Canis lupus familiaris: one gene and its partners. The protein of the gene in region 2 purifies or fractionates together with the protein of the main gene of each other region. This does not show direct contact. Links are inferred from orthologs where the notes say so. Each region holds a gene or a part of one and is shown on either strand. Other genes may lie near its edges.

Region 1 (7,086 bases), on a different chromosome or scaffold from region 2:
ACCCTAATAATCAGGAGCATGGGGCCCTGGAAGATCCTGATAAGGAATCTCAGGGCGACAGGGGTTCTAGATCCACTGAAATCCCACATACAGATGAGCAACCAGACAGCAGAAATGAAAACCCACAGGAAACATTTACTGCAAAATGAGTCACAAGGCATCCCCACAAGCCCCCAGATACAAGGGAGGGGGCCGGACACCACCACCTCCCCCCATCAGCCACAGGCCTGCGGCGCCACCACCACCACAGCTTCGTGGTGGAAGCAGAGTGCTGGTGCCCTCTGGGAGCAGCTAAATCTAGGAGGCGGCCAGCTCCACTTCACTTGGGGCCACAGCAGAGCAGTCTGGCTCTCGTGAACTCTCGAAACAGAGCCCTGGGCTCCCTGTCAGGACAGGGTCCCCTGACAAGGAGAATGGAGTCAACACAGCACGAACAACGATAAGAAAGACAAAGTAAAGTCCCAATGGAAGCAGGAGATGGGACTGAGGCCCAGAAATCTCAGGCAGCCAGCACCCTATATTTTAGCACTACACCATATGGACACGAGAGGGAGCTCAGCCACGTCGCAAAGGCCAGCCTGAATCACACTTCATTCTCCGAGTTAGAGAAGCATCAAGGTCAAGAAGCAGGATGGAGTGCCCAAGTGGCTCAGTCGGTTAAGCAGTTAAGTGCCTGCCTTCAGCTCAGGCCATGATCCCAGGTTCTGGGATCACGCCCCACATCGGGCTTCCTGTGCGGGAAGAGGAAGTCTGCTTCTCCCTCTCCCTCTGCTCTCTATCTCAAATTTAAAAAAAAAATCTTTAAAAAATTTAAAAAGAAAGAAAAGCAGGATGCAGATGACAGAGAAGGAAGGAGTTGGCCCTGGCTCTGGGCAAAGCTCTGGCGCCCCTGCCCCCCCCCCCCCCCCCCCCCCCCCCCCCGCCCCGGGTCAGCTGTCACGCCCCTGCTCACCTGGTCGCTTGTTGTAAGGCAGGACAAGTAAGGGAGTATCTCCAGAACATGAATACGGCCAAAATTGCTGAAATGGTGGCGGATATACTCGTAAGTCTTGTCCTCAGCAAACGTCATCGCTGTCTAGGTTCTACAGTGACACAGAGGCTCTGGCCCATAAAAGGATGGATGGAGAGGGAAAAAAGGACTGAAAGAAAACACACCACATATGGCAACAGAGTTGGGAGTGGGGTTGGACAGAAGGCAATCACTTCTCTTTCTCAACTCTCTGCAATGTTTGCTTTTTTCTTTAATCAACCAATTTTATTACTGCCTGAGTCCCAGAGGCCCTCAATAAACCTACTTAAAAATGAAATTGATGACCAAAAGAAATCATATCCGGGAAAGAAAAAAAAAGAAATCATATCCAAAAGAAAGAAAGAAATCAGATCCAGATCTAGGCCCCATTTCTGCCCGCCCTGCAGGTTGGTCAGTGTTGGGGAGGGTTCTGACTCCCTGCCATGGTCCCAAGGTCTGTATGTGTCCCTAGTCGCTGATAGCAAGAGGACTCCACCAAGGACTGCTGCTTCTTTGGGGTACACTAGAAAAAAGAGAAAAAAGCCCCAAAATAATAATAGGATCATCCTACTTTAAAGGTCAAGAAAATGAGGTACCAAGAAATTAAGGGGCTTGCTAGTTAGCAGAAGAGCAAAGATCAGAGGTCAGGTCCTTTCCAGAACATGACCGCAAGCCCACCATTAAAGCTTGCCACATACATGTTCTTAGGATAGGAGGCTAGTTCCACTCACCGTATGATCTAGGGCAAATTACCGGCTTTCTACAGTCTTCTCTTTACCCCTAAAATGACTCAGAGGGCTTGTTTTGACAATACAGTAGCTCAACTGCATAAGCCTGACATTTACAAGTGCCTCAATTACTAGCAATTGCTACTACTTGCTTAGGTAGGACTTACCACAATTTGCAATTATAGATGGGGTTGTCTGTGAGTTCCTTACCTGCCTCCCCCTCAGGGAGAGCTGCAGGGAATAAGAGGGACAAGATCTCTGCCATCATCCAATTTATATTCTATTGGGGTGGGACAGATAACAAATCAGTAAACACGTACATAAATAAGAATTCCAAATAGTAACCAAGTTATGAAGAAAATAAACCAGGGTTTTGAGACAGAATCCCTGGAGAAGGACGTGCTGCATGAACAGAGGTGGTCAGGTAAGTCTTTCTGAATTGGTGACATTTGAGCTGAGCCATTCTGAGCTGCAAGATCAGCATTTTGGGCGGAGGGCACAGCAATTTAAAAGTCCTAAGGTGGAAATGACCTTGGCATGTTTGAAGAACAGAAAGCAGGTCTGGGTGGTCCAGGTTTAGAAAGCTAAGGGGAGGGGAAGGGATCAAGGTCAAGGAGGTTCTGAAAAGTGGTGGCTCATGTGCAGTGTTGCAGGAAAGGACTCTGGGGGTTGTTATTTTTGCTTTGGGGGGTTTCTTGGAGTGAAATGGGAAGCCACTGGGGGTTCTGAGCAGAGAAGGGAGAGGATCTGACTTATGTTAAAGACCTCTCTGGTAGTTGTGAGGACCTGGATTGTACAGAGGCCAGGATGGAAGCAGGGAGACAATTGGGAGGCTGAAGCAGGGGGCCACAGGATGGGTATGGCCAGAATGCTGCCCATGGAGATGGTGAGAGGTGGCTGGATTCCTAGTGGGTCCTGGATGTGGGAAGTGAGGGAGAGAGAAGAATCAAGGATAACTCCTCAGGCACTAGGTAGATGGATGGTGCCATTTAGGCAGGCCAGAGAACCTGGTGGAGAAGCTGTGGTGCAGAGAGGATTCCAAAGCTCCATTTTGATCAGGTGATCATAGTGTCTCAAGTCTGAGACACTATGACATGTCCAAGTGGGTTTTCTGGGAAGAAAGGGGTCAGAAGAGGAGCCAGACTGGAGCAAAAATGTGGGTGTGTGGCTTGGGTGGGACTCTAGAAGATAATGTTGCAGAGCAGAGCTGGGGCCACCAGTCTGTCACCCATATGGGAAATGGGGCAGTAGTCCTGTCTGCTGGCCTCATAGCCTCATGTGGCATGCCTTGCTCTGTCAGCCACCAGGTGCTACATTATTGGTGTGGCAAGTGTCAATGACAGAAGTCAAGAGGTTCAAGAAGATGGGGCAGGGGTCCTCTGAGCGTTCAGGAGATGAGCAAAGAACTCTAAGGTGGCTAAATGACGCTTTTCTCCTTTCTTTCCATGGCATGTGGGGAGGGACAAGGATAGAGTCAGGTGATACATTCTTCTGCATCTGAGCCGCAGCCCTAAGGACAAGAGTTTGGGGGGTATGGAAGTAGAACATGCTCCAACCAAAAAGGAAGGAAGCCCATATTTGTTCATATTTATTCATGATCTACTATAGGCAGGCACATTCTAATTTTCTTTCCTTTAGGAGAGGAGAAATGATGCTGGGTTGTACAAACAGACCAGTGGCCCTAACAGGATTTGAACCCAGGACTTGCTGTCTCATTGCAGTTCACCATACACCTTACAGAACATAGGGGCTGCTGCAACAAGTGAGACTCACAGCCCCAGAGGGACCAAGGCCACTGCCTGGGTGAGGGGAGTCCTCAGATGGGGGTGTGCCAGGGAGGCTGAAAGACGTAGTCCCTTCTCTTGTAGGAATAGTATGTAAATCATTCAGACAAGGCTGACTGCATGCTAACCTGCCCTGTTCGGCAGTCGCAGTTCTCAGATCGCTGACTGTCCTTCCAGAAGTTTTTAAGGCTCCACAGCGTGCACAGAACGTCGTTTTTTGGTTGTGTTTTTTTTTCCCCCAATGTTTTCCTAGCAGCTCCTTCCGGTCTCAGAGAAGGGCGGACTGACGCTGCGAGAAGTTCCTACCTTGAATGCCCCGGACGCGCTGAGTGCGTCCCGGAAAGAAATAACCACCCGGAGGAGAGAGGCGAGGCCTCACTGATTTGGCTCCAATTCCTGGAAGGAACCAGGCCCGCGGAGGGAGGGAGGGAGGCTGTTCTGGTCAGATGTCACCACCGAGAACTGTCAAGGCCCGGGGGAGGACGGCGGCCTCTAGGCGCGGCCGCAGCTCCGGGAGGTTAGGCCTCGCCCCAGGGTCACCCCCGGCCTGCGGGGCGCTGGAGGCACTCAGCAGCCAGCGCCTGTCTGCTCCCCCAACCTCCCCTCCCGCCCGAGCACACGACCCACGCCCCCCCGCCCCGCCCGGCGCTGCCGCGAAGCGCGGCGCCTCGGGACCGGCTCTAACCCAGCCCCGCGCAGCCAGTCCCGTCCCCGGACCCCCGTGCGCCCCGGTGGGCTCCGCGTCCCGCTCCGCTCTTGCCTCCGCTGACCACCGCTCCGAAAGCCATCGGCGCGCCCAGAGCCCAGGGGACCGACCGCGCCCGGGACGGCTAACTTACCTCGGTAGCCACTACCCGGCTACCCGCGGACCTCCGCAGACACCCCGGAACCCTCCCCTGCAGGAGGGGGCGCGGCAGAGAGGGGCGGGACCGCGAGGCCATTGGCCAGGCGGCGGGGGCGGGGCGTGGCGGCCAGCCTGAGCCACTGGGCCGCGGGGGTGGGCGCTTGGCAGTGGTTCGAGGGCCTGGACCCGCGGGACAGGCGCTCCGGGCAGACCTAGGCTCCTGCTGGGGCGCAGAGGATCAGATTATTTTGTTTGTCCAGAACAAACTTCCAGGGGAAATACAGAATCTGGCTAGAACTCAAGTGGCTGACCGACCTCGGAGTCAGTGCTCGGCTGGGTCCCCATGCTTCCTACGCCAAGCAATCACTCCTCCTGAGTAATTTGAGGGGGGAGGGTCTTTATGGCATTTGTACCGGGGCACCCAGGGCCTGGCATAAAGTTAGTGCCCAATAAATATCGAGTGATACGCAAAGTGCACAGGAAGCGACACCAATGCTGGGCCTGAGGAAGCAGGATCACAGTGCGAGGAGGCTGGGTAGGTGAGAGCAGGGCAGGGGCGCCAAGTTCGGGCTGCCCAGACTGCTGGCTGTGGGTCTTGAGTGCTGTGTGGGAAAGGCTTCTCTGCCCAAGGGTCTGGACCAGGTACCTCCCCACAGCGCCTGCCAGCTGCCTGGCCCTTCCTCTGTTTGGGGCTGAGGCCAGCAATTACTGAGCCTCCCACTGTGTTCCAGGTACAGGCTTAAAGTCTTATACCTTAGAAGCCACTAAATACTCAGACAATCACCAGGTAGAGGTTTATTTTTCCTGGTTTTAAGAAATATTAAAAGATTCAGGGGTGTCTGGGTGGCTCAGTCAGTTGAGGGTCTGCCTTTGGCTGGGGTCATGATCTCAGGGTCCTAGGGTCAAACCCGCATCTGGCTCCCTCCTCATCAGAGAGCTTGCTTCTCTCTCTCACTCTGCTGCTCCCCCTGCTTGTGCTCTCTCTCTGTCAAATAAATGAATAGAATCTTAAAAAATAAATAAATAAAAGATTCAGAAAATGGCAGTTCTTAAGTGAAACCTATGCCAAGCCTATCACCCAGCCACCACTCCTAGGTGTGTGTCACATGCACAATAGCTAATATTCATAGTGGCTTTGTTCACAATAGGCAAACTCTGGGAACGACCCAAAGGTCCATCAGCAGAATAAAGAGATAAACTGTGGTGTGGTCACATTGTGGAATAGTATGCAGCAGTGAAAAAGAGCAAACAATTCATATACACAGCATGGATGAGTCTCCCCCAGATAAATGGGCACCACTGCTAGCAGAGTCAAGTACAAAAAGTACATGCTGTCTGTTTCCCCAGTTGCAAGGTAAGGCAAGTTTGAAAAACAAGCAAAACTCATCTACATAAAGAAAAATCATTCACTGTTGACTTCTGGGTTGGGGTACAGGGGAACTTTTGCAGGGAATGGAAATGTTCTATATCTTGATGTGAGCAGTGTGCACATGGGCTTGTGCATATGTAAAAATGCATCAGCTGTACACTTAAGATTGTTATACTTTACCCTGCAACTTAAAAATGAAAGAGAGACTGGGAACCTGGATGGCTCAGTCTAACTCTTGATCATGATCTCAGGGTCGGAAGATTGAGCCACTGCCTCAGGCTCTGCACTCAGTGGAGACTCTGCTGAAGATTCTCTCTCTCCCTCTCCCTTTGCCCCTCTCCCCCACACTGTTATTTGTGCGTGCACATGCTCTGTCAAATAAATAAAAATGTTTTTAAAAATCTAGTCTATAGCTGATATAAACCTTTAGGATGGCTATTATAAAACAAAATAACAAGTATTGGCAAGGATATGGAGAGACTGGAACCCTTGAACATTACTGGTGGCAATGTGAAATGGTGCAGTTGCTATGGAACAGTATGGCTATTTTATTGTGGTGTAACATACACATAACATAAAATTTACCATTCTAACCATTTTTAAGTGAACAGTTCTGTGGCATTAAGTACATTCACGTTGTTGTACAGCCATCACCACCATCCATTTCTAGAACTTTTTCATCTTCCCCAGTAAAACTGTCTACCAATTAAACACTCCACTCTCCATTGCACCCAGCTTCTAGAAGCTCCTATTCTACTTTCTGTCTCTGAGTTTGCCTATTCTAGATAGCTTATATAAATGGAATCATATATTTGTCATTTCATGACTGGCTTATTTCACTTAGCATAATGTCTTCAAAGTTCATCCATGTTAAAGTATATACTAGAATTTTCTACCTTTTTAAGATTGAATAATATTCCATTATATGAGTAGACCATGTTTTGTTTATCCATTCATCCACTGCTTTTTACCTTTTGGCAGTTGTGAATAATACTGTTATAAACATGGGTATACAAAATCTGTTCACATCCCTGCTTTCATTTCTTTGGGTATGTATCTAGAAGTAGACTTCCTGGATTATATGGTAATTCTAATTTTAAATTTTAGAGGAAAGGGGTAGAGAGTTTCACTGGGGAAGATGAAAAAGTTCTGGAAATTGATGGTGGTGATGTCTGCACAACAACGTGAATATACTTAATGCCAAGAACTGTACACTTAAAAATGGTCAGAATGATTAATTTTATGTTATGTATATATTACCACAATAAAAATTCTGGCCTACATAGTCTTCTTGCCACCTTTGTCTGGGACCCAAAGGAGGGCACATCATCCCATCTGTGGAATTCTTGCCA
Region 2 (7,086 bases):
ATGTGCTAAACCAAATTGCTGTTTTGTCCATCGCCAAGATACATGAACTCAGGAAACAGTAAAATTAAGAGAGGGTTGTGTCCCACATTAAACCTACTTAGTTTGGGGCGCCTGGGTGGCTTAATTGGCAGCTAGGTGTCTGCCTTTGGCTCACTCGGGTCATGATCTCAGTGTCCTGGGGTTAGCCAACATTGGTCTCCCTGCTCAGTGGGGAGTCTGCTTCTCCCTCTCCCTTTGCTCCTTGTGCATGTGCATGGGTGTGCATGCTCTCTCTCTCAAATAAATATATAGAAATCTTTTTTTAATTAAATATTTTTTTTATTCATGAGAGACACACAGAGAGAGGCACAGACTTAGACAGAAGGAGAAGCAGGCTCCTTACAGGGAGCCTGATGCGGGACTCGATCCCCGGACCCGGGATCACGCCCTGAGCCAAAGGCAGATGCTGAACTGCTAAGCCATCCAGGTGTCCCTAAAATCTTTTAAAAAATAAAATAATAAACCTAATTATGCACTTGCAAAATAGTGCTTCCTGTTCCTATGACATTGGGCTGTTTCCACTAGGGGACACACAATTCCTCAAATAGGAATTTGAAACTACATCTGGATATTGCAGATTCATGACAACATCAGGCCAGCAAGGAAATACAGGGGTTACCAAACTGGCTGGGCTGATTGATACTATGGTCTCATGACCTGTTTCAGAATAAAGGACCACAGAAGGTATACATTTTTCTTCCTTGCTTTGTTTTTGTAGGTATTAGTGAACTACTTTTGATTGCTTCCTTCTGTCCCTTTATAGGAGATTTGCTGGTGGTGGTTAATTTAATTTTTCATGACAGTTTTTAGGTTAGAGTGTCTTTTTTTGGGGATCCCTGGGTGGCTCAGCGGTTTAGCGCCTGCCTTTGGCCCAGGGCGCGATCCTGGAGTCCCAGGATCGAGTCCCACGTTAGGCTCCCGGCATGGAGCCTGCTTCTCCCTCCTCCTGTGTCTCTGCCTCTCTCTCTCTCTCTCTATGTCTATCATAAATAAATAAATAAATCTTTTAAAAAAATAGAGTGTCTTTTTTTTTTAAGATTTTATTTATTTATTCATGAAAGACACAGAGAGGTAGAGGCATAGGCAGAGGGAGAATCAGGCTCTCTGTGGGGAGCCCAAAGCAGGACTTGATCCCAGGACCACGGGATCATGACCTGAGTCACCCAGATGCCCCTAGGTTAGAGTGTATTAAGGTGGAATTTGTAACTAAAAGAGAAGAGGAAGAAAGATCACATAGCAATGGGTGTAGAGATTAGGGGATAGGATAAACATGTTTTTCCTTTGAAGGAGGGGATGGCAGCATTAGGTGGGAACATAGTTCTGTTGTTTGCTTGAAAGATTATTAGCCAAAGCAGTGGACTGCACTAGATAATATTTTTATTTAGCTTCCGTTCTCACTCCCTTCTATGTCTTCCTAATCCCTGGATTATAATGTATGGAAGGTTAAAATCACATTTTCCAGATGTCTGTGGAGTTAAAATTCTGGACATAATTTGGGTTCTGCCAATGACTGATGAACAATGGCACAAGGTTTGAAAGACAGAAGGGAGGAAAAGGTTGTCCTGTGAAAGAACGAGCTGATAAGCAAGCTCCTGTGCTCAGTGGTGCATACAGGAGCTGGACTCAAGTTCCCTTGTCAATTCTCCAAGGGCATAGGGCATATGTGGTGGCAGCAGTGGTGGAAGCAGTGGCAGTGACAGAATCCTAAACTCTGGATAGCAGATATAGTGGAAGTCTCCTGGTTTCCATCCTGCCAGCCCTTCCAACATACATGCATGCATTCATTTTCTACTAAATCCTTATGCTTAACATACAGTGGTTTCTGTCTCCCAATACTGCACAAGGAGAAACCTCTCTTGAAATGGAGCCTACATGAGAGAGTACTGCTGAGAAGCGAAGATTAAGAATCGGGTCCTTGTTTGAGCTCTGGATCAAGCCGCATCTGAACCAGACACAGCCTAGACCAGTCCGTTAAAAGAATCCTCCCCTCCTCTTCTTTCTCCTGCTAACCAATTTGTGTTTCATATTATGTTTATTACATCAAAAGCATCATAATTGATCTAATATTCTAAAAACAACCTCTTGTCAAAAAAAGGAATCCCCTTTATTCAATATATATTTATTGAGTGCCTACTATGTGTAGCCCTGTACCGGAAATGTGATGTTGAGCAAAAACTACTGTGTCCTTAAGTGCTTAAATAGAAATGAATTGGTTTTTTTTTTTTAAGATTTATTTATTTATTTTGGAGAGGGAGAGAGAGAAAGAGAGAGAGAGAAAGAGAGAGAGAGAGAGATGGGTTGGGAGAATGGCAAAGGAAGGAGAGAGAGAATCTCAAGCAGACTTCCTGCTGATTGTGGAGCCTGTTGTCACAGCTTGATCTCACGACCCGTGAGATCATGGCCCAAACCAAAACCAAGAGTTAGCCACTTAACTGATTATACCACCCAGGCTCCCCATCAACTAAAAGTATTTTTAAGAATTTTTATCCAAATTTTCTTGGTGTTCTGAGGGAAGAGTTTTCAGTATATGTAATCCACCATACTACCAGAAATAGTAACCCTTCAGTCTTTCTCAATGAAATTTTATGTAACTTTTCTATGAACCATTCTATTCTTTTTTTAAAAAAAGATTTTATTTATTTATTCATGATAGTCACACAGAGAGAGACAGAGAGGCAGAGACACAGGCAGAGGGAGAAGCAGGCTCCATGCACCGGGAGCCCGACGTGGGATTCGATCCCGGGTCTCCAGGATCGCGCCCTGGGCCAAAGGCAGGCGCCAAACCGCTGCGCCACCCAGGGATCCCGAACCATTCTATTCTTAACTGTAACCAGCTATGGTATGAAGATTAAGGATTAAGAGGTTTTTCCCAAAACATGCTCTAGCTTCTCTTGTAAATTCTACATGACCACCTGGGGCTCCGTGGTAGAAAAGCCTTTATGCCACAATAACACAGTATCTAATATTTATCTTTGAACTAAAGGCCCCTTAAGAGAGGGGCCTCCAGGGGCATCTGGGTGGCTCAGTCAGTTAAGCGTCTGCCTTTGGCTCAGGTCATGATCCCAGGGTCCTGGGATCAAGCCCCATGTCCCATGCCAGGCTCCCTGCTCAGTGTGGAGCCTGTTTCTCCCTCTCCCTCTGCCAGCTGCTCCCCCTGCTTGTGTTCATTCTCTGTCTCTCTCTGTCAAATAAATAAATAAAATCTTAAAAATAAAAAGAATGGGGCCTCCTTAGGGTCTAATGCAGGAACATGCAGAGAGTAGATGAGCAATGCATTTTCCTTGAACTATGAGGACAGGATTTATTCATTTACTTCAGTGCCGAGTTGGAATTACATTTCCCCTAACAGTAGGTTTGAGATAGCTACCACAAGTACTTCGATCTGTAGTGAGAGATAGAGGAATCATTCTGGGAAGACAAAAAAATATACATCATTGGGAGGGCTGTCTTACACTCAAACACCAATTAGGCATATTTCTAATAGTATCTGCCTATGCTTTTATGTGAACCCAAAGCATGAAAGAAATGAAAAGCCCAGTATGCCACATTAGCAAGAGTGTCCCCTTTGGACAGCTAAATGGCCTTTCCTCAACAAGCGAACAAACAAGTCTGAGCTCAAAAACTTCAAATGTTGTCATTATTATTAAATTCACATTATTTACATATAAATGTTACTGAATTATCATTATTATTTGATCAACTTACTTTGTTATTTATATTTAATTATTATTCAGAAAAATGAAATATCCATGCCTACTGAATGACCAGAATCAAGCTTGGCAATAAGATTCATACTTCAGCTTTGCTCCTAGGGAAGTGCCTGTTAAGCACTCTTTGAATTTTGCATCCATTTCCTGGTTCTGAGTCTCACTGAACAAATTTTTCCAATCGCCAACTTCACCTGCAACACACACAAAAAACAGACCCAGACGTCTGTTAGAGTATTTCTTCCTGATTTTTTTTAAGCTACTATATTTTACTTTTATTTTTATTATTATTTTTTTTACTTTTATTTTTATTTGGGTATGGTTGACATACAATGTTACATTAGTTTCAGGTGTATTACATAGTAGTTCAATAACTCTAAGTTATGCTGCGCTCACCACAAGTGTAGCTACCATCTACCACAATACACACCATTACAATACCATTGACTGTATTCCCTATGCTGTACCTTTTATTTTTTAATTTTTTAAAGAGATTTTATTTATTTATTCATGGGAGACACACACAGAGAGAGGGACAGAGACATAGGCAGAGGGAGGAGCAGGCTCCATGCAGGGAGCCCGATGTGAGACTCGATACTCCATCCTGGGACCCCAGGATCACACCCTGGGCTGAAGGCAGGCGCTAAACCGCTGAGCCACCCAGGCGTCCCAACGCTGTGCCTTTTAATCCTATGACTTATTCACTTCATAACCGAAGACTAGTACCTCTCACTCGTCTTCACCCATTTTGCCCATACCCCTACTCCTATGTCTCTATATTTTACCATTTTTCAGGGCAACATTTCACTTTGAAATGTGAAAATGGACACATGAAGAAAATTAGTCTTAAGAATGAAAGTAATTCTCTTGTAAAACTAACAGCATCCACTGGGACTTCCCCATCGGTGGCATGGTATGCTCTCTTTACATTACTTAGGGGACTGTAGGCTTCAGTAATCTCCTATCCCCCACCCCCAACTCTGGGGACCTAAAAGTCCTTTTTTTTTAGTCATTTTTTTTCCTCTGTGAAAGTATTTCTTAAATACTTTAGTCTTTGAGAAGTCATCATTTTACAGCAGATTTTTTTTTTTTAAGATTTTATTTATTTGGGAGAGAATGAGAGAAAGAGCACAAGCAGGGAAGGGGCAGAGGGAGAGGGAGAAGCAGACTCCCCACTGAGCAGGGAGCCTGACTGAGGCTTGATTCTCCAGGCCCTGGGGATCATGACCTGAGCTGGATCATGACCTTAACCGACTGAGCCACCCAGGCGCCTCTTATGGCAGGTTTATATCAAGACCTCAGATACTGAAAATTTGTCAGGAAGTTACCATTTTGCCTGAGATTAGGATATGTTTTTCTATTGCTTTTAAAAGTACGGGAAGTTACTTCTTTCTTTAGAGTCTTTTGGTGATTTGGGTTGAAGTTGCAAAGTTCCTTGTAGGATAGCCATTTGTAATGTATGTTTATAAGGAGTGTTTAAAGACAGGAAGAAATGCTTAGATATATGAAGAGGGTAACATAAAACACAACTGTTTACGAATGTCATCCACTACATAAAACATCACAGAGTAGGGTGGAAAGAAATATGCCAAAAAGTTAAACATGCCTCTGGTGGGAGAAATGTGGGTAATTTCTAATGCTTTTGCACCTTTTCTCATGCTTTCTGAATTTTCTACAGGGAATATGTAAAATTTTTAAATTTTACTTAATTTTATAATTTTTCTGTTCTGAATAGTGCTCGATTAACAATGTACAAAAAAAGCTCTTTTTTTCCCCCCTCCTTCAAGGTTCATTAAACAAGGCATTAAAATCAGGGATAAAGTCAGGAATCAAACCAAAGCCAGATTTACATTCAATGTTCCATTCACAGTGGGGATTTTTAAACGGGTCTTCATTAGATAAAGTATAGTAGAGTCAGGTAAACCTAATATCAAATCCTGACTCCATCAATTATTAGCTGTGACAATGGACAAATTAATATCCCTAAGCTTTGGTGCCCATGTTCATAAAATTAAGGAATTTATATATTTATATATACATATATATATATATATTTTTTTTTTTTTGCTATGTACACCTAGCAAAAGGTCTAACATACAATAGATGCCTGATAAATAGTAGTTGTTGTTATGTGTGCTGCCTCTAAACCACGTTATACTTCCATTGTATATGCAATTTAAAAGCCTGGTAATTTCTAAGCTATATTATGATAAATTTCCATTAGAAATTAGAATGCTGAAGCAAGCAGCACAGCTAATCAGTGTCTAGATCTGCACTGACCAGTACGGTAGCCACTAGCTATATGGGCAACTGAGCTTTTGAAATGTGACATAAGCTGAATTTTAAATGTTATTTAATTTTAACCAGCTTAAATTTAAATTTAAAAACAGATACTCAATTCAGGTATTGGAAACTTTTAAATAAGTTTGATGTAAGTTGGGTGTATGAATCTTTTTCAACCTAAGTTTTAAAAATCTAAAATTAGGGGCAGCCCCGGCGGCACAGCGGTTTGGCACTGCCTGCAGCCCAAGGTATGATCCTGGAGACCTGGAATCAAGTCCCATGTCGGGGTCCCTGCATGGAGCCTGCTTCTCCCTCTGCCTGTGTCTCTGCCTCTCTCTCTCTCTCTCTCTGTCTCTCATGAATAAACAAACAAACAAATAAATAAATAAATAAATAAAATCTTAAAAAAATAAAAATAAAAAATAAAAGTCTAAAAATATGTCAAATGACTGAGATAGCTATCCAATACTCATTATCTCCTCCTTCTTATTAACAAAACCCTGATTTTAATTTGGTAATAATGTGCTCACCTAAAAAAAAAAATCAGTTTGCAGCCAACAGGCAGTGAGAGGTGGCCTATAAAGTGTACCAAATCGCTGATGAGGCTTCTTGCAGAGTTCTTTAAAAGGACCTACTCAGCTAATACACGTGATTCTATCTATTGCCATTCCCTTCTTATTTTAATAAAACAGTCCTTTAATTTTAATGTAATGGCAGAGTTCTGGCTGCTGTCTTGGCATCACAAAGTGACAGGCAGGAAGGTAGAAGGGACTTAGTACCCTAAGAGATTTGGGGTATTGTGGAGCTGCCAGTCTAGTTCTGAACTGTATTCAAACTTCTTGTTGAAGGAGAGAAAAATATAATCCTGTCTTAACTTAAAGTCAAGTTATTTGGGTTGCCTATTCCATGCAAATGGGTGGGTGTCCCAGAAACCAGTGTGACTTTACCTTTGCGGAATAAAAAGGGGCCAACAGCACCATGTGTTTCCTGGGACTTTGCTTGCATTGCTTGGAAGGTACTCTGGGCTGTGATGGTTTGAATCTGCTCCCCAGTTAAA
Region 3 (7,086 bases), on a different chromosome or scaffold from region 2:
TCCCAAGGAAGCCCTTTTGGCCAAAAGGAAGTGGTAGTAAGTATAACTTGAATCCAGAGGAAGAAAAAAAGAACATCAGAAATGGTAAATATGTGGGTTAATATAAAAGATATTATAAATATTGTTTTCCTAATTACTTCTGTTAACTTCTTTAAAAGACATATTGTATAGGGGTGCCTGGGTAGCACAGTCAGTTGGGCACCTGATCTCGGTTTTGGCTTAGGTTGTGAGCTCAGGGTTGTGACAGTGAGACTTGCATATAACTCCATACTCAGCAGTGGAGTCTGCTTGAGATTCTCTCCTCATCTCCCTCTGCCCCTCCCCATTGCCTGCCCCTCCAAATAAATAAATAAATAAATAAATCTTTTTAAAAAGGACATACTGGGTGGCCCAGGTGGCTCAGCAGTTTAGCGCCGCCTTCAGCCCAGGGTGTGATCCTGGAGACCTGGGATCGAGTCCCATGTCAGGCTTCCTGCATGGAGCCTGCTTCTGCTTCTCCCTCTGCCTGTGTCTCTGCCTCTCTCTCTCTGTTTCTCTCTCTCTTTTTTTTTTTAATTATTTTTTTTGTTCATTTTATGATAGTCACACAGAGAGAGAAAGAGAGGCAGAGACACAGGCAGAGGGAGAAGCAGGCTCCATGCACCGGGAGCCCGATGTGGGATTCGATCCCGGGTCTCCAGGATCGCGCCCTGGGCCAAAGGCAGGCGCCAAACCACTGCGCCACCCAGGGATCCCTCTCTCTGTTTCTCTTACGAATAAATAAGTAAAATCTTAAAAAAAAAGAAAAAAGGACATATTGTATAAATCAATAATTATGACACTGAACAATTAGGCTTATAACATATCAATGTAATATATATGACAATAATAGTACAAAGGAGGGGGAGGAATGGACCACTATTAGAAGAATGTTTTTATATTTTATCAGAATTAAGTTAGTATTAATTTGAAGTAGACTGTGATGAGTTAAGATGCATCCTGTAGTCCCTTGGGTACTAAGAAAATAAAATTAAAAAGTAAAATAAAAAAAAAGTATAAAAAATATTAACAGAAATTAAAATGGTCCACTAAAAAATACTTTTTTTTTTTTTAATTTTTATTTATTTATGATAGTCACAGAGAGAGAGAGAGAGAGGCAGAGACACAGGCAGAGGGAGAAGCAGGCTCCATGCACCGGGAGCCTGATGTGGGATTCGATCCTGGGTCTCCAGGATCGCGCCCTGGGCCAAAGGCAGGCGCCAAACCGCTGCGCCACCCAGGGATCCCCACTAAAAAATACTTAAAAGAAGTCAGTAAAGGAGAAAGGGAAGAACAAAATGTAAAGGAGAGAAAAAAAAAATGTAAAGGAGATAAACAGCAAAGTAGAAAATGTAAATCTAGCCATATCAATAATGAAATTAAATGTGAATAGTCTAAAGAGCCCACTCAAAAGGCAGAGACTGTCAAAGGATAAAAAAGCAAGATCTAGGGCAGCCCAGGTGGCTCAGCGGTTTAGCGCCGCCTTCAGTCCAGGGCCTGATCCTGGGGTCCCAGGATCGAGTCCCACGTCAGGCTCCCTGCATGGAGCCTGCTTCTCCCTCTGCCTATGTCTCTGCCTTTCTCTCTCTGTGTCTTTCATGAATAAATAAATAAAATCTTAAAAAAAAAATTTAAAAACGTAAGATCGGGATCCCTGGGTGGCGCAGCGGTTTGGCGCCTGCCTTTGGCCCAGGGCGTGATCCTGGAGACCCAGGATCGAATCCTACGTCGGGCTCCCGGTGCATGGAGCCTGCTTCTCTCTCTGCCTGTATCTCTGCCTCTCTCTCTCTCTCTCTCTGTGTGACTATCATAAATAAATAAAAATTAAAAAAAAATAAAAATAAGAAAAAATAAAAAAGCAAGATCTATACAATGGGGATTCTATTTAGCAACAAAAAGTAATTAAGTACTAATACACAGTACGACTTGGCTGAACCTCAAAAACATGTTGAGAAGCCAAATGCAAAAGGCTACATATTGTATGATTTTGTTTACATGAAATGTTCAGAATAGGTAAATTTATAGAGTACAGTGGTTGCCTAGGGCAGAAGGTAAGAGTGGAGGTTTAATGTAAAGAAGCACAAAGGGGGATCCCTGGGTGGCGCAGCGGTTTGGCGCCTGCCTTTGGCCCAGGGCGCGATCCTGGAGACCTGGGATCCAATCCCATGTCAGGCTCCCGGTGCATGGAGCCTGCTTCTCCCTCTGCCTGTGTCTCTGCCTCTCTCTCTCTCTCTCTCTCTCTGTGTGACTATCATAAATAAATAAAAATTAAAAAAAAAAAAAGAAGCACAAAGGAATTAACTGGAGTGATGGAAATATTCTAAAACGCAATTCTGTACTTTTACTTAAAAAATCATTGCATTGTGCAGTTACAATGGGTGAATTTTATGGTATATAAATTATCAATAAAAGTTGCTAAGAGAGGGGATCCCTGGGTGGCTCAGTGGTTTGGCGCCTGCCTTTGGCCCAGGGCGCGATCCTGGAGTCCCGGGATCGAGTCCCACATCGAGCTCCCGACATGGAGCCTGCTTCTCCCTCTCTGTCTCTCTCTCTCATAAATAAATAAATGTTAAAAAAAAAAAAAAGTTGCTAAGAGAAAAACAAAACAAAGAGGAGTAGAACTTGGGGTTACAGGTATCTACTTAGGCCTCATATAATTATTGGAAAGTGAGGAGAGTAGGAAAAATGAGCTGGGTCCTAAGTGACACTGTACATTCATAGACACATAAGCAATTCACTTTTTAGAGCACAGCTGTTGTGTTCTCTGCTTCAAGATCAAGCGATCCCTTCTTATCCCTCAAGGACAAAGGTCACTCCCTCTTTGTGCACAACCAATTCTTATACATTCTTCTTCACTGCACCCATTACATTAAGCTGAAACTGTTTTGGTGTCTGCTTCCTGGACTAGAACTATAAAATCCCTTCAGGACAAGGACAGTATCTTCCTCATCTCTGTAGCTCTGATGCCCAGCCATCCTGGGTACTGAGCAGGTATCAATGAATGTTTGTCAAATTAGTGAAAGGAAAATTGGGGTGTGTTTGGGGGAGGATTTGTATCAAACAAGTTTGAAATTATGAGGCAGAAAGAGGGCCCATATTAATTTAGGAGTCAGACTAGACTAGTTTTTAAATTGGAGAAGCATACAAAAGGGCATAGGTCTGTGTACCACCCCAAATGTAAACATACCTTCCTTGGATGTGGCCAAAATTCCATTTTATTCCAGGGTAATCAGTTCACAAGCAATACATTAAACTTTCCAAGATTAGTCTGCTCACCAAGTAAACAAATTATCTGATTTCCCTATAGATTACTTGACAGGATTAGCACAGGCCAAACAGTTCTTGTACTTCTGGCTAAGAGTTAAGCAGCTAACTGCTAAGGACTATGAAAGAGGTCACACAACCAAGTCAGGCCAGCTTTTACCATCCTCCTCTATCTCCACTTTACCCAGTGCCAGGTCAAATGCAGAGCAAGCTGGGAAGCTTTCAGCCCAGAAGTGGCCTCTCCTGTATCCTGTTCTCCACAACTTTGGCACAAGCATGGGATACAAAGAAGCTGGAGCCAAAGTATACTCTGGCCAGTTTCTCAGTCTCCCGGCCCTCACCTCATAAAAAGGACCCAGGCAGTTGAGACCAGACACCTAGAAACAGGGGTAAATCAGGTTCAAGACACCAAGGCCAGGAGGAACATAGGGTTAAGAAGACCTTCTGGACGGGCAGCCCGGGTGGCTCAGCGGTTTAGTGCCGCCTGCAGCCCAAGGTGTGATCCTGGAGACCTGGGATCGAGTCCCACGTCGGGGTCCCTGCGTGGAGCCTGCTTCTCTCTCTACCCCTCTCTCTCTGTGTCTCTCATGAATAAATAAATCTTAAAAAAAAAAAAATCTTAAATGTTTAAAAAAAAAAAAAAGAAGACCTTCTGGAGTCCTTGGCAGTGTGGGGTATGAGAGAAAGGATGCAAAGGAGGCAAGGGACATAGGGGTGGGGGAACCTGTGGACTGGGACGATGGAGTCTGTGAGAAATGGTGGGGGGCTAGTAGTCTGGCGGGGAAGGCTCCGTGGGTCTCCGAGAAGGGATGGATAGGAATGAAAGTCGTTTAAGAAGAGTTGAAGAAGAGCTGCGCTCTGGTGGGTGAGAATGGAGGGACCGGAGTACGAGAGGGGCCTTGACCATTTAAGCCCGGAGACCTCATTCCTGTGGTGCTGCGGCCTCAATTTTCGGGGTGCCTGGCCCATGGTACCCAGGCCCTGCTGGGGTGCACGAGTCCAGGAGTCCCGGGGCGCGTCACGCAAGGGGGCGGGCCGGGCGCCAGGGGGTGTGACCGGAGACCCGGGGGCTGTCCGTGCTCCCGCCCCGCGCTCCCGCCCCTCCCCGTGAAATGAGCGGGCGGTTGAACTCGCTGCCTCTGAGGTCCCCGGACTCACCTTCCTCCCTCCCCACTGGTTGGGCCCCGGACACTGCTTCCCAGAGGCGGCGCGCCCTCTCGCGGTCGAAGCGCAGCCCGTCCGGTTCCCGTCCTTCTCGTTCCTCGGAGCTGTTGTATGGCCGGGCCCCTCCACTGTCCGCGGCCTCTACGGTGCCCAACCCGCGATACTCCATCTTTCCAGCAAGCCCTAACCGGCCGATAGTCACTCATAAACCTTGGTCTCGCGAGATGTGGGACGTTGCCCGGCCAACAAATCTCGCGAGGTTTGGGCTCTGCGGACCGCCTTGCGGTAGGGGGCCCACACGCTTCTCTTTGGTCGCTGCTGGGGGTTCTCGGAGTGTGTGCTGTGGAATTGAAAGTCAGTCTCTGGTTTAACAGCAGCCCCCTCCCTCTGGTACAGGTTCGTGCAGTCTTAAGCCAAAGGTTTTCACCTTGCTCACTGTCAGCCTTCAACACTTCTCATTTCATTCTCTTGAAGGCCCTTGTTATGTGGGAACACTTTCTCCATTTTACTTAGGGAAACTGAGGCCCAGAACCTAGAAATAGTCGACTCAACAGTTTGCTACCAGGATGTGGTAGAGTCAGGACTCCATCTGCATGATTGGTTTACTGCTGATAATAAATAATACCATTTGAGTTTCAAGTTCTAACTCCCAGAGCAGACCTCCCCCTTAAACTCTCCCAATGTGACTGTCGGATCCAAAATTTCATCTTCCATCCCCACAACTCCTCCTCCCCGAGTCTTGGGGAGCCATCATCTCTTGCCAAGGTTATTGTAGCGTCTTCACTGGTCCTTTCCCTTGCCCTTCAGGTATTCGAAGCACAGCAGCCCCAGCAATCCTCTTAAAACAAGCCGCATCATGATACCCTGATGCTCCTATTCTTCAACAGTTTACCATCTCGCTCTTGGTAAAAGCCAAAGTCTTAGTCTAGCCAAAGGGCTCTATACAGTCCAACTCCCCTAACCTCCCTGTCTCATCCTTTATTGTGTTACTCTCCAACACCTTCATTATTGTGCCAGTTACCATGACCTGGAATGCATTTCCCCCGTATATCCTCAGGGCTCAGCCTCTCATTTCATTCTCTGATTACCCTATCTAAAATTTAACACCTCCACACATATTTCATGTCCTTCTTTCCTGCTTTATTATTTTTTTCCTTCTTAACACTTAACATTATCAGATATAGTATGTTTTTACTTTTTAACCTTGTTTTTTCTTTGTTTCCCCACTAGTAGTCATACCCCAAGAAAGAGATTTTTGTCTATTTTGTTCTCAGTTGAATCCCCAGCATCTTGAAATAGAACCTGGGCTCTCATAGGTACATACAAAATATTTGTTGAATGAATGAAAATGAAACTTTTAATATAATTATCATATTTCAACTTCATTTATTCAAATGCTTATTGAGAGTTTACTATGAGTTAGATGTTATCTTGGGCATTGGAATACAGTTGTGGACAGGGAAGCTCTAGTATAGTGTTTTTTTTTTTTTTTTCTAGTGGAGGAGAGTGTAATAAGTCAACAGATAGTAATAAGTGCTAAGGAGAAAATAAAACAGGAATATATATTGGGTGAATGACGTGGAAGGAATATTACTCACTGAATAATAAAGCCTCTGAATAAATGACATTTTATCTAAGACTGGATTGATGAGAACTGGAAAGTCATGCAAAGAGCTGGGGAAGAATGTTTCAGGAAGAGGGAACAGCAGGTCCAAAGGACCTGCGGCAGGGGTGAGCTTGCTCTGCTGGAAGAACAGGAAAAAGGACTGTATGTCTGGAGCCCAATGAACTAGGGGGAGGTGGTTATCAGAGAAGGCAAAAGAGAGAAACTGAGATGTTTCTTGCCTGAGATCACCCAGCTCACCAGTGGGGTTTACTTATTTATACTATAAATATTGTGCATCAGCTCTGTGTCAGACCTCATGCCTGACTCATCTATTACAATGCAATAGATGGTTGATAATTGTGTAGTGTTATAGTTTACAAAGCACCTTTAACATTTAATCCCCAGGGTAGTTCTCCTATGAAGGATTCTTTCTTATTCGACAATAAAGAAACAGACTGGGAGAGGTAAGGGTTTTATCAGGGTCACACAGCTAGTTAATATTAGAGCTTATGCTTGAACACCAGTCCTCAGGCTGCAAATCTGTGTCCTTTTGCCAATACCAGATGACTAGCCTAAAAAACAATGACTATACATTACTTATTTATCTCATAGAAAGTTTCTAGTTGCCCACATTTCCATAGCAGAGTTATTCAGCTAGAAATCCAAAGGTATGAAGGACATTTTTGTAAAATTCCCAGAATTCAAGCATGTATATTTGACAAAATGGAGCAAAAAATAGTCCCTTTCCCCTCATTCTCAATCTGATTAGATGCTCAAAACAATTTAGATTTATTCTCTAGTGAACACTACCATGAGGCTTTCTACTTCTCAGCTCTGTGAACACATCTCTAGTTGTTAGAAGTGACCATAAATTAAGTTTTACTAACAGGATGTGTACAAACATTATTTGACTCAGAATCTGAAATTGGTCTGAACAGCAGGGTTTGTTCTTGAGGAAAACAGTGACAAAGCTATGCTGACGTTGGCTGGGGGAAGGAGGGTGATGATGACATCCACCCCCCCATCTTTGCTGC

What was found.
Region 1: the proteins of EIF2AK2 (region 2) and MAVS purify together in Homo sapiens (affinity purification with western blotting; 3 studies listed by BioGRID and IntAct, with this or other methods). This does not show direct contact. The link is inferred for Canis lupus familiaris from reciprocal best matches to the Homo sapiens genes EIF2AK2 and MAVS.
Region 3: the proteins of EIF2AK2 (region 2) and ZNF346 purify together in Homo sapiens (affinity purification with mass spectrometry; 3 studies listed by BioGRID and IntAct, with this or other methods). This does not show direct contact. The link is inferred for Canis lupus familiaris from reciprocal best matches to the Homo sapiens genes EIF2AK2 and ZNF346.

Annotation. Positions count from the first base shown.
Region 1 is NC_049245.1:17,972,018-17,979,103, forward strand, and holds the start of MAVS (mitochondrial antiviral-signaling protein), read right to left. Parts: upstream 4,380-7,086; 5' UTR 4,361-4,379; intron 1,140-4,360; 5' UTR 1,070-1,139; coding exon 953-1,069; intron 1-952.
Region 2 is NC_049238.1:29,692,492-29,699,577, forward strand, and holds the start of EIF2AK2 (interferon-induced, double-stranded RNA-activated protein kinase), read right to left. Parts: upstream 3,804-7,086; 5' UTR 3,745-3,803; exon of another isoform or gene 1,884-3,744; intron 1-1,883.
Region 3 is NC_049225.1:37,185,839-37,192,924, forward strand, and holds the start of ZNF346 (zinc finger protein 346), read right to left. Parts: upstream 4,663-7,086; 5' UTR 4,616-4,662; coding exon 4,441-4,615; intron 1-4,440.